Linked DNA regions of Caenorhabditis elegans. The protein of the gene in region 1 interacts with the protein of each later gene in a biochemical or structural test. Each region holds a gene or a part of one and is shown in the gene's direction. Other genes may lie near its edges.

The links.
Region 2: of the proteins of spat-1 (region 1) and air-1, one has a biochemical effect on the other in vitro, tested with the Caenorhabditis elegans proteins (one study listed by BioGRID).
Region 3: of the proteins of spat-1 (region 1) and cdk-1, one has a biochemical effect on the other in vitro, tested with the Caenorhabditis elegans proteins (one study listed by BioGRID).

Annotation. Positions count from the first base shown.
Region 1 is NC_003280.10:14,526,703-14,530,455, forward strand, and holds the start of spat-1 (Protein aurora borealis), read left to right. Parts: upstream 1-2,049; 5' UTR 2,050-2,073; coding exon 2,074-2,164; intron 2,165-2,225; coding exon 2,226-2,323; intron 2,324-2,367; coding exon 2,368-2,423; intron 2,424-2,478; coding exon 2,479-2,608; intron 2,609-2,654; coding exon 2,655-2,773; intron 2,774-3,488; coding exon 3,489-3,753. Other genes in the region: F57C2.5 (Strictosidine synthase conserved region domain-containing protein), read right to left, coding at 83-136, 316-729, 993-1,423, 1,478-1,518.
Region 2 is NC_003283.11:8,219,488-8,223,240, forward strand, and holds the start of air-1 (Aurora kinase), read left to right. Parts: upstream 1-2,000; 5' UTR 2,001-2,013; coding exon 2,014-2,064; intron 2,065-2,108; coding exon 2,109-2,170; intron 2,171-2,215; coding exon 2,216-2,401; intron 2,402-2,454; coding exon 2,455-2,598; intron 2,599-2,642; coding exon 2,643-2,751; intron 2,752-2,793; exon of another isoform or gene 2,794-2,962; intron 2,963-3,026; coding exon 3,027-3,254; intron 3,255-3,291; exon of another isoform or gene 3,292-3,486; intron 3,487-3,550; coding exon 3,551-3,751; 3' UTR 3,752-3,753. Other genes in the region: cogc-6 (Conserved oligomeric Golgi complex subunit 6), read right to left, coding at 1-548, 597-832, 879-1,392, 1,439-1,579, 1,628-1,717.
Region 3 is NC_003281.10:9,745,468-9,749,220, forward strand, and holds cdk-1 (Cyclin-dependent kinase 1), read left to right. Parts: upstream 1-2,004; 5' UTR 2,005-2,006; coding exon 2,007-2,186; intron 2,187-2,236; coding exon 2,237-2,443; intron 2,444-2,491; coding exon 2,492-2,647; intron 2,648-2,698; coding exon 2,699-3,025; intron 3,026-3,072; coding exon 3,073-3,201; 3' UTR 3,202-3,385; downstream 3,386-3,753. Other genes in the region: iff-1 (Eukaryotic translation initiation factor 5A-1), read right to left, coding at 441-506, 556-693, 812-964, 1,009-1,138, 1,586-1,686; T05G5.4 (uncharacterized protein), read left to right, coding at 3,473-3,526, 3,570-3,683, 3,751-3,753. UniProt on the Caenorhabditis elegans protein: Plays a key role in the control of the eukaryotic cell cycle. Required for entry into S-phase and mitosis. Acts as a component of the kinase complex that phosphorylates the repetitive C-terminus of RNA polymerase II.

The DNA of each region.
Region 1 (3,753 bases):
AAAATCAATAATTATGTAAACCTAATGATTAAACTGGGTCTCGTGACGATTTCTAATTTTTTTTGTAAAAAGAAATTTTTACCAGGAAGACTGCCGAGCCGGTCGAGAAGAGATGGATGAGTTGCTGAGCGAGTCGCTGAAAATTTGAAATTGTTAAAAATTTTTTATTTTTTTTAAATTTTAAACAATTTTAGGTGAATTAAACATCTTTTTAAGAAAAAAAATGTTTTGATTCGAAATTCAAATTTTCCGATTTTTCTTTCAAAATTTCGATTTTTTTAATTCTCGACTTTCGGCAGGCAGGTAGGAACGAACCTGTAAGTCCAACCCAATAAGTTCCACGGCCACTGCTACGAATATTATCCGGAAGGCCTGGCAAATTGGCCGCGAACATTTCCACTTTTTTCGATGCAATCGTCAATTTCTTGATTCTCGCCATACTACATTCCGCGAAAATCACAGATTTCTTATCCTCCGTTAATTGAATTCCATTGGGAAAATACAGCTTATCAGCCAACACTTTTACGCTTTTTGTCGAGATTTTCAGATGAAAAATGCGTCCGTCGGCTTGATGTTCGAGGATTGCAGCCATAAAATGCCGACGGTCGTGACGTGTTGAACTATCCGAAATGATAAGCTCATCCTCTGAAATTACGTCCAAATCGTTCAAAAATCGAGGTTTTAGACCATCGATTGGCACCTTTGAGTCCAGGATTTGTGTGGAGATTGCTGGAAAAATTGGAGAAGATTTTCTGTTTTTTCTAGAAAATTAAAAAATTTTTTGAACAACATAACCCAGTTTTTGCCATTTGGAATTCGAAAAAGTGGTAAATTTGCAAGAAAAAGAGATTTTCCATGAAAAATAGAAAAATTCAGGAAAAACTATTTTTGATAGCTAAATTTGAAGTAAAAAACAATATCCAGAAATTTCAACAACTGGAAATGTAAAATTCTTGGATTTGTTTGAGCGAAATTCCAGAAATTCCACATACGATTTTGCTCATCGGTAAAATCGACAATGTAGACTCCCAAATAAGCGTCACAAACGACGAATTTCGGTTTTCCAGCCACAAGTCGACGGATTCCAAGAGGCCGTCCACATTCGGGCTCCGTATCGAAATGCCCGCAGTCTGGGAAGAATTTCGACTTTTCCGAGTATGAAGCCTTGCTCACAACCCGGCCGTCAACGATTTTCAGCACTTTTGCATCATTAACAGACACATAAATCGCCTCATCATCTACCACCATAGATTCGGGTCCAACAATTTTTCCGTCAAGGATGTGCTCGGCCTTTTCCAGACCCGCATTTATAAATAGGTTGCCAACGAGTGCTGGCGGGGGATCAAATCGATATTTTCTCGCCGAAGTGTTCTTCTCGTCACTGTATCGGTAGTAGAGAGCTCCCCAGGAAAGCAGAAGTCCGCTGAAAATTTGAAAATTAGAAATAATTGTAAATTTTTTTAGAAAAAAAACCTACACAAAACCGAAGAAGAAAAACTTTCCCATCGTTTTGCACATAAACTGCGGTTCGATTACCCTGAAATGTTAGAGAATAGATAAGATGTTTATCGCATTTTTTCGGGGAACATAGATTAGAAAAATAAAAAATATTTGTGTGTTTTTTGAACACAAAATTTGGAGTTTCTTGAGGAGACCTCACAACTTTGTGTTTTGTAGACATGAACTCTTCGGGAAAACGTTTAATTTTATGACTATTCACGTTAAAAATAATTAAACTTTTACAGTTAGAACTCTGAAAAAACTAAAATTGCAAATATGCTAAAAATGTTGCAATTAAAAATGTATTTTCACAATAAGTGTATATAATTGTTCCGGTAATTATGATTTCTCAGGGTTATGTTAGGTGTGGTGGCTCAAACTACGGTGCGTGTTTGTGTGCAAACACCGCTGCGTACCATGTATTTTATTTTACGACAAGCAATTTTTTCTTCTTTTTTATATTTTCTAATGTGATTTTCTTTAAATTAAACGCTACTTTCCGTGATTTTATTTTATTTTTTCATTAATTATTAAAAAAAATAATTTTCCAGCTATTCGAGCACTAGAAACTAGATGGAATTCAATGTCTCGTCGTTTTGCGAAGGGGAAGAGTCTAGACAACTCAACAGCACCGCGTTAGAGCATGATGAGAATGGGCGAACCGGTAATATCGATTTTTTTAAAAATTTAATATAAAATATTTAAATTATATCTTAAACTTACAGCTGAATGGAAGGTGTCGCCAATCGCCGCAGAGCGTCCCAGCAAGATTTTTCCGAACAAAGCGAGAAGCGGGTTCAAAACTCCGCTAAGAAGCATTAATGTACGAATGAAAATTAGAAAAATCTCTAAAAACCTGATTTTCAGACTACTGACCCGTCAACTTCCGGATATGACTCTAAAAGTATCACACCACAGCAAAAGTGAGCTTTTTTAGGACTTTAAATTATATTCTAAGCCTAAAAATCCAATTTGCAGCGATCCCAAGCTCTCAATGTCTGCAGAACTTTCATCATTCATAGCCAACAACAGCCTAAACCCCTTGGACTCGATTCTTCTCAATTCCCTGCACAAATCCATCAACTTCAGCCCTCGCGTCGTTTTTTCTGTAATTATTTACGATTTTTAAGAGGAAATTCTTGTGTTTTTTCCAGCAAGAATCGTGTAGTCAGCAGAAAGACAGCGAAAAATTTCAATGGAGCATCGAACAGTTGGCCATTTTGAAGCCCGCGCATATTTCAGACGATGAAATTGCGGCGAGCTATCGATCACCGTAAGGAACGGGAAACAACTGAGCACTTTGTGCGAAGATTCTAGGAAATTGGCTGAATAATCCCGATTTTTTCCAATAAAATCAGTTTTTGTCCTGAAAAATGGAATTTTTTTTAGCAAAATTTCAAGCTTTTTAGATGAATATTTGATTTTTTTGACGCAAAAAAAAAACGCCAAAATTCTGAAATCTTCAGCTGATTTACATACCTTTTTGAATTAAAAAAATCTAATTTTCCGCCAGTTTCTAATACATTTTAATACTAAAACTCTGAAAAATCACAAGCTGTCGGCTATGTTTTGAATTTTTTTTCGAAAATCCAATTTCGGCCGGAAAAACGGGCCTTATTCTTATTTTTCGCTTGAAATTCATTTTCTACAGCAAAATTTTCGGTTTTTGGAGTCTGAAAATTAATTTTTACCCCAAAAAGTTAGTTTTTATTCAGTTGTCATAGAAAACGGCTAAAATTCCCAATTTTTTTTCAATTAAACAACCCTTTAAAAAATATTTTTCAACTTGAAATTTGGCTTTTTATGCCAAAAAATCCCATTTTCCAGCAGATTTTCATAATTTTTTAAAAATAAAAACCCTCGAAATTCTTTATTTTCAGGCAATTTTCTGCTTGAAAATTCAAATTTTCCTCCAAAAATTTGGCAAATAATCCGATATTAGCCTTTTTTTTCTAATATTTATCCAAATTTTTATATATTTTTTTCAGAATTCCCGAGGTGGAGGAGAAGATTCAGGAGGTGCTCAACGAGTATTGGACGAAAAATGTCAGTTATATTCCATCTCCAGACGGTCCCCGATACATAAATCTATCACATCGTGATGGTACAGTAACCACGTTCACTTATGGCGCCGAAGAGAATGCCACGTCATCATCGGCTCCAGGAGCAGCTGCTGGAACTCCTGCATCACTGGCGAATATTGTACGGAAAAAGGAGGCTGTGAAGGCCGCCTACGCCACGTCATCACCCAAA
Region 2 (3,753 bases), on another chromosome or scaffold:
TCCGATACTTGAACTGACACCAATACGTCTGAATTTCCTTCGATCATCGCGTCAATCATTTCAATCTTCTTCTTGAACGCCGATATTTCCGAGATTGCACTTCTAATGACTGTTAAGCAGTTAATTGTGAACACAGAAACTTCAATATCAGATTTCAGACGAGTTGCACTGAGTTGAACCGTCTGAATAAGTGGTTCCAAGACATATTCGTAGATCCTTTCTGGTTCAAGAAGAAGATTCAAATCTCCTGTTTTTACAGCAATTGAAATAAGCCCGTGATAAAGTGAAAGGCATTGCCGAACTTCTGGGACTGGAAGGAGATCATAGTGTGGTGATGTCATCTTTCTCATAAGTCCGTCCACGTGATGATTTATACCGGCAATACATACTTGACGAACTGTTTTGACGAGATCTGCGAGCATTATTGTAAAATAACTATCTTTTCGAATCAAAGTCTCGAACTTGTTTGCATAGAAAATTAAAATATTTCCCATTTTGAAAATTGTGATGGCATTTTTTTCTGTCGACAGCAGTTGCTCTACCCTAATCTGTAAACTATTATCATATATTATAGTCCAATAATTTAAACTTTTTACCTTGAACGGCGAAGTCAAAGATTTCAGGCATTCATCAAGAACGATCGGAAGATTTTCTGCGGAACAAATTGAGCTGAACAACTGTTTTTCTTGCTCCGTGAGCTCGTGAATCGAAGTCAGCATATCTCCAACTGCCTTCAGTGGTTCTGCCAACCCTTCAGGCATTTGGACAGCCATTTTGTTAATTTCAACAAACTGATTGAGCAATTCTTGTGAGCGAGATGAAATGTATTGGTCTGAAAACTAGGTTAATGGTGAGTAGATTTGAAGAACTAAACGTACCAATGGCAAGCTGGAATACAGCATCATTCTGACTTATGATTTTGAAAGCTTTAGAAAGAATTTGCTTTTTCTGATGAGAATCAACTGTCAGATTTTGAAATTCGCGTTTCAGATTGTTACAGATAATTGCATGGCTTCTTTCGTCAATTTTTTGCATTTTTTCCATCACTTCAAAAGCGGCAAGATGTCCTTGCTCCTGAACCATATTTCTGCAGTTCTCGCGAATTTCGTGGCACCTCTCAAGAACTTTGAAGAAAAATTCCGATAGATGACCACTTTGTTCACATTCGTCTAATTCTCGAAGCTCTTCACTTGATAAAGAATAGTTTTCGAGAAATTCATTTATCATATTACAACGGCTTTCTATACTCGCTTTCTTCTCCTTCAAGCTTGCTGTTTTCTGCACCAAATCAACACTTTTGAACTTTACAGTCTCCATTTGCTTTGATAAATTCGTGCATGTGGAGTTCATTTTTACACAGAGCTCATCGAATTTTTGCACAATGTTATTTATCTGAAATAGCAGATTTAAAATGAAATGATTTCAGGTTTATTCTAACTTTTTCGAACTCGCTCAAATATTCCTTGTTTAGTCTCAACTCGTATCGTTCTAGTTTATTGTGTAGTTTCCTATCAACATTTGAATCAAGGTTCATATCTTCGACCAGTGGAGTGATGAAATCAGCAATTTTGATGCAATCCTGTAAGAAATGCCATAAGTTTCGTTTGTAATTAATATTTTAGCTGACCTTGTCATTATACAGCTTCTTTGCACATGCAGTAGTCACTTTTTCTCGTAAAGGATTGACTGCTGATGAAGTTTTATCGATTACTGACATTTTATTGATTCAAATTCACCGAATTCTGCGAAAAAAATCGCAGAACTCAGTGGAATAGAAAATGCAGAATTGATTTATTCGCAACGTGTCAGCAACGACACTCCGAAATAACAGAGCGCGTGTTGTTTAGCAATGCCGCTCAACAACCCGCCAAGCAAAATTCATTCAAAGTGACTGCCTTTGTTCTAATTTTTGACGTGTTCTTGAATTAGTCGCGATTTTCTTTTTCCTTTCTCATTAAATTTTTTATTCCTCAATTTTATTATAATATTTCAACTCGCAGAATTACATTAATCATGAGCGGAAAGGAAAATACTGCTCCTGTGATAGACGATCAGAAGGCCGAGGTAATTGTTATTAAAATTAGAAAGGCATCAATTCTAATCTTCAGGTTATTTCACTTACGGAAGATAGCAGACCTCAGAGAGTTGACCAGGCAAGGGAAGAATCATGGTGAGAATAATTGATTTATTACTTTTACAATGTAATGGACTTTAGCTGGAGTCTTGATGATTTTGACGTTGGACGGCCTCTCGGAAAAGGAAAGTTTGGAAACGTTTTCATCTCTCGTGAAAAAAAGACCAAGCGAATCATAGCTTTGAAAGTACTCTTCAAAACACAGTTGCTTCAACTTGGAGTCAGTCATCAGTTGAAGAGAGAGATCGAAATTCAATATCATTTGCGGTATGTTTTCTCGAAGTCATCTCATCCAAATCAATTAATCAATATTATTTCAGTCATCCGAATATTCTCACTCTTTATGGATACTTTCACGATGACAAGCGTGTGTTCGTCATTCTCGACTATGCCAGCAGAGGAGAATTATTTAATGTCCTCCAATCACAACCTGGACACAAAGTGAATGAGGTCATTGCCGGAAGGTGTGATTTTGTAGATATTTCAGAAATATAGTAAATTTCCTCAGATTTGTGCGACAGCTGGCCAATGCGTTGCATTACTGCCATTCGAAAGGAGTTATTCACAGAGACATTAAGCCTGAAAATCTTCTTCTTGATTCGAAGCTCAATCTGAAGGTACGCGTATAAATATGGTTAACTAAGTACTCAAAAAGTCTTCTGCAATGTTCTCAGTGCATCCTTTGGTTCTCCGAGCCGAAAGAAGTCACTAGCTGAAAAAGAGTTTATACTCTGATCACACAGTAACATTGCAATAAAAGCTTAGCTCGAGATGCGTGTGCCGTTCTGCTTTTAATGCGATCTGGTTCCTTTTCTCCTCGGGACAATTACCGTAAAAATTAAATTCAACACATTTTATGCATTCTTTCTAAAAAATAAGACTTGTATTTCAGCTTGCCGATTTCGGATGGTCCGTCGTTGCTGATCACTCGAAACGCCATACATTGTGCGGTACCATGGATTATCTTGCTCCGGAAATGGTTTCCAATCAGCCACATGACTTTAATGTTGACATTTGGGCAATTGGAATTCTTCTCTTCGAAATGCTTGTTGGATATGCTCCGTTCGCCAATCAAACTGGTGATAAATTGATCGCCAGAATCAAGGAGTGCAAGATTTATGTTAGTAATTATGAACTAAATTTGTTAGAATCTTAATAAGCAGTTCTCCAACAGAAATATGTGCATGAAGTGATGGTTTGGGTAACCATTTCATCTTTTCATGTCATATATCTCCTGCCTCTCACGGTTTCATCTGTGAGAAGCTTCAAAGAACTGCAATAGAAGTCTAGCTCGAGATGCGTGTGCCGGTTTGCTTTTAATGCAATATGGTTCCTTTTCTCCTCGGGACAGTTCTCAAACATTCATTTCCATTTTGTTTCCCAAGTAGTTTCATCTAAATTGCTTCTTTTTTGCAGATTCCAAGTGTTGTGACTGACGGAGCTGCCAGTTTGATAAATGCAATAATCAAAAAGGAACCCCAAGAACGTCTCCCACTTGTTGACATCATGGCTCATCCGTGGATTAAGGAAATGAAGCAACGCGAAGACATTGAAGTTCCACTCTTCATTTCGACGCTCACGAAATCCAGTCGCAATAATTCTACAGCCAATCAATAAAA
Region 3 (3,753 bases), on another chromosome or scaffold:
GGTCTTTGATACTGCACCTAGATATTATCGTGGTTAAGGGGGTGCTCGCAGGTCGCGGAGGAGGACACGTTTTAAAGTGAACAGCTCTATTGGCACGCGGCCAACCTGGGGTCAACTCAATAAGCAATAAGGTGTAGTGTACAAAGGGTGGAAAAGCTGCACAGGCCATGTAGTTCCAAAAACTAGGAACTGTGATTACAAAGTCTGACAACTGAATCTGATTTAACACTCCATGGACAGATGTCACCTCCGCGGTTTGCAAGCAATTCATTTTCGTTTGGTGAGCAGATATCACAATCAACACGACACATAAAACACCCACATTACACAACACCAGCGGAGGTGCACTTGTTCATTGCCCGATGTTTTTCGAATGATGTATAAAAAGCGGGATGATTAAACTGGAACTGCTTTTATTATGAAATTGTATATAAATGCAATTATTCCTTGGTAGAAATCTTGTATCCGAGAATAGCCTCCTCTCCGCAGGCAGCAACGACTTGAACCTGAAAATCAAAATTTTCAGATTCAAAAGGTGGATGTCGAAATAATTACCAAGACGCTTCCTTCGTCTTTCTCGAGAGCCTCACGGATAGTGTTTCCCAAGTCTCCTTCTGGCATTTTGAGATCGTCTTTGAGCTCGCAAGATTCTGGATCCATGAGCGAGCAGAACCCGTCTTCGATCGACATGAGCTGAAAATTTGATCAATAACATTTTTTACAGCTGATTAACTCATTTTTCAAAAGATTTGTTTAACCGTCCAAAGTTGATTTTTTTGAAAGCCTTCTTAAAAACTAATTAACAACTTACAATGTACTCGCGTCTCTTGACGACTGGGACGTCCATGTTGTGGGTGGATGGGCAGATATCCTCAAGCTTCTTGGTGGTGAAAATATCGATGGCAACCATGTGAACCTTAGCATGTCCGTGCTTTCCAGTCTTGGAGGTGCTCATCTCGACGATCTAAAAAATTTCTAATTAGGAAAATTCACTGAATTATTTTTTACCTTGCATGGTCTTCCTCGGATCATGACGTGCTCGTTCTTGCGAAGAGCCGAGCATTGCTTCGGGAAAGTAGCAGCAGCTCCGGACTCGGCAGAGTCGAATTGCTCCTCGTCGTGATGATCTTCGGACATACTGCAACAAAGATTTATCAATTATTTTAGCATTTTCAACTAGTTTCCAACGAGAAATTCAAAAAATAAATTTGGAAAAAAAGGTTTGCAGGAAAAAATTGTTTTGATTGAGAAATTTGATGCATTTCTAATAAAATATTGATCTTAGCAAGAAAAACACTGTACAAACCTGAGAAAAGTATAGAAATCGAGAGAAAATCAAATGCGCGAATTTTTTTGAAAGGACGTTGTTTGGCTGCGTATCACAATGAAGAATGAGTCGCTACGCAGCCAAAAATTTGGCGCCAACTTCCATCTTCAGACAGAATCGAAGTCCTCACTTTTTTAGGATTTCAAGGAATCTGCTCTATTTTTTGATTTATCTGAATAAATAATTTCCTAAAAATGCATTCGTTGCTTACTTGCCAAATTTCGCTTTCATCATGTAAAATTAAATAATAAAAATTACCTCTCTATGGTCTTCGGGGCAGCAACTCTCGCCATCCACCCTCCGAAGCCAAGATTACGATTTTTCTTTGAAACTCTGTTTAGTTTTGTTGGAAGCCTCATAAAGTAGAACAAATCAAGTTTATGATTATTTTGAGTAGTTATTTTTATATTTTCCGGCCTGTATTTATTCTCTTTTCTGCACAGTTTTGCGTTAAATTTTATCATATGAATGCAATGTTTCACAACAATCCTTCTCAGCGCGTACTCTCCTTTTCGGAATAAATTGTCATCAAAGGTGCATGCCTTTTCACTAAGCAATGGTCTCGCACCGACTGTCCCCCCTTTTCGGCGGCAGTGGAAATGATTCAAAATTACACGCTTACGCCTTTTCTATCGTTGTATTACAATTGTTCTGACAAAATTCATTTCCAATTTTAGTTATGGATCCTATTCGCGAAGGAGAAGTGGCCCACGAGGGAGATTCGGTTTACACACTCAACGATTTCACGAAGCTCGAAAAAATCGGCGAAGGAACATACGGAGTCGTCTACAAAGGCAAAAACAGAAGAACCAATGCCATGGTTGCTATGAAGAAAATCAGATTGGAAAGTGAAGATGAGGTATTTGAATTTTGTAGCAGTTTCGTTTTTTCAAACAATAATTCTTATAGGGTGTTCCATCAACGGCTGTGCGAGAGATCAGCTTGCTCAAAGAGCTCCAGCATCCGAATGTTGTTGGATTGGAAGCGGTCATTATGCAGGAGAACCGGCTTTTCCTGATCTTCGAATTCCTGTCTTTCGACTTGAAACGATACATGGATCAGTTGGGAAAAGATGAATACCTTCCGCTCGAAACTCTTAAAAGTTACACATTCCAAGTGAGGAAATATTTAAAATCGATGTCTTTACAAGAATAATTGTTCCAGATTCTTCAAGCTATGTGTTTTTGTCATCAGCGTCGTGTTATTCATCGCGATCTTAAGCCACAGAACTTGCTGGTCGACAACAATGGAGCAATCAAGCTTGCCGATTTCGGACTTGCCAGAGCTATTGGTATCCCGATTCGCGTTTACACGCATGAAGTGAGTTTGCATTCATTCTGTACACCAATACAATGATTGTCCGGTTTTCAGGTTGTCACTCTCTGGTATAGAGCTCCAGAAATTCTGATGGGTGCTCAGAGATACTCGATGGGCGTAGACATGTGGTCGATTGGATGCATTTTTGCTGAAATGGCCACGAAGAAGCCACTGTTTCAAGGAGATTCAGAAATTGATGAGCTGTTCCGCATCTTCAGAGTTCTCGGCACACCGACTGAGTTGGAATGGAATGGTGTTGAATCACTTCCGGACTACAAGGCGACGTTCCCAAAATGGCGTGAGAATTTCCTCCGTGACAAGTTCTACGACAAGAAGACTGGAAAGCACCTTTTGGACGATACTGCATTCTCTCTTCTTGAAGTAAGATTTCTAAAATAGTACTTTAACAAGTAAAATAATATTTTCAGGGTTTGCTGATCTACGATCCATCACTTCGTCTCAACGCGAAAAAAGCTCTCGTTCATCCTTATTTTGACAACATGGATACGTCAAAGCTGCCAGCTGGAAATTACCGAGGAGAACTCGAACTCTTTTGATGTAATTCATTCATCATCATTTTTATTATTTATTCTCCCGTGCTTTAACCACCTATCGTCTTCCGTGTATTGTTTAACTATCACCATTTCAACTTTTTACCTGTACGATGATTATTTGGCCCTTCGATATTCATGAGTAATCTCTTTTTTCACACCGCGATAAATAAATTCGCTCTACTTTCATGCTCTTTTTTATTCAAGCACTTTGTTCAACGTGTAAATGAGAATAGGGAATTAAGAATTCATTATTATTATTTTTCCATTCTGAAGAATGATCGCTGCAGTGATTCCAATATTCGTAATTTCTCTGTCTAACATTTCGCACGTAAGCTAAGGTAACGAAAACTAATCTAACTGGAGCTATTAAGATTATTCTTGCAATTTTCTTCTTCCCATCGATTGTAGAATTCCTCGATGATCTTTACTGGGGATTCACTTATCGTTCGTGGTCTCCAATTGCACGTCAATTAGAATTGGGACCGGTAGGATATATCCCTATATATAGGATTAAATACAATTTAGAGAATAAATCAAAATAATTGTGTTTAGAAC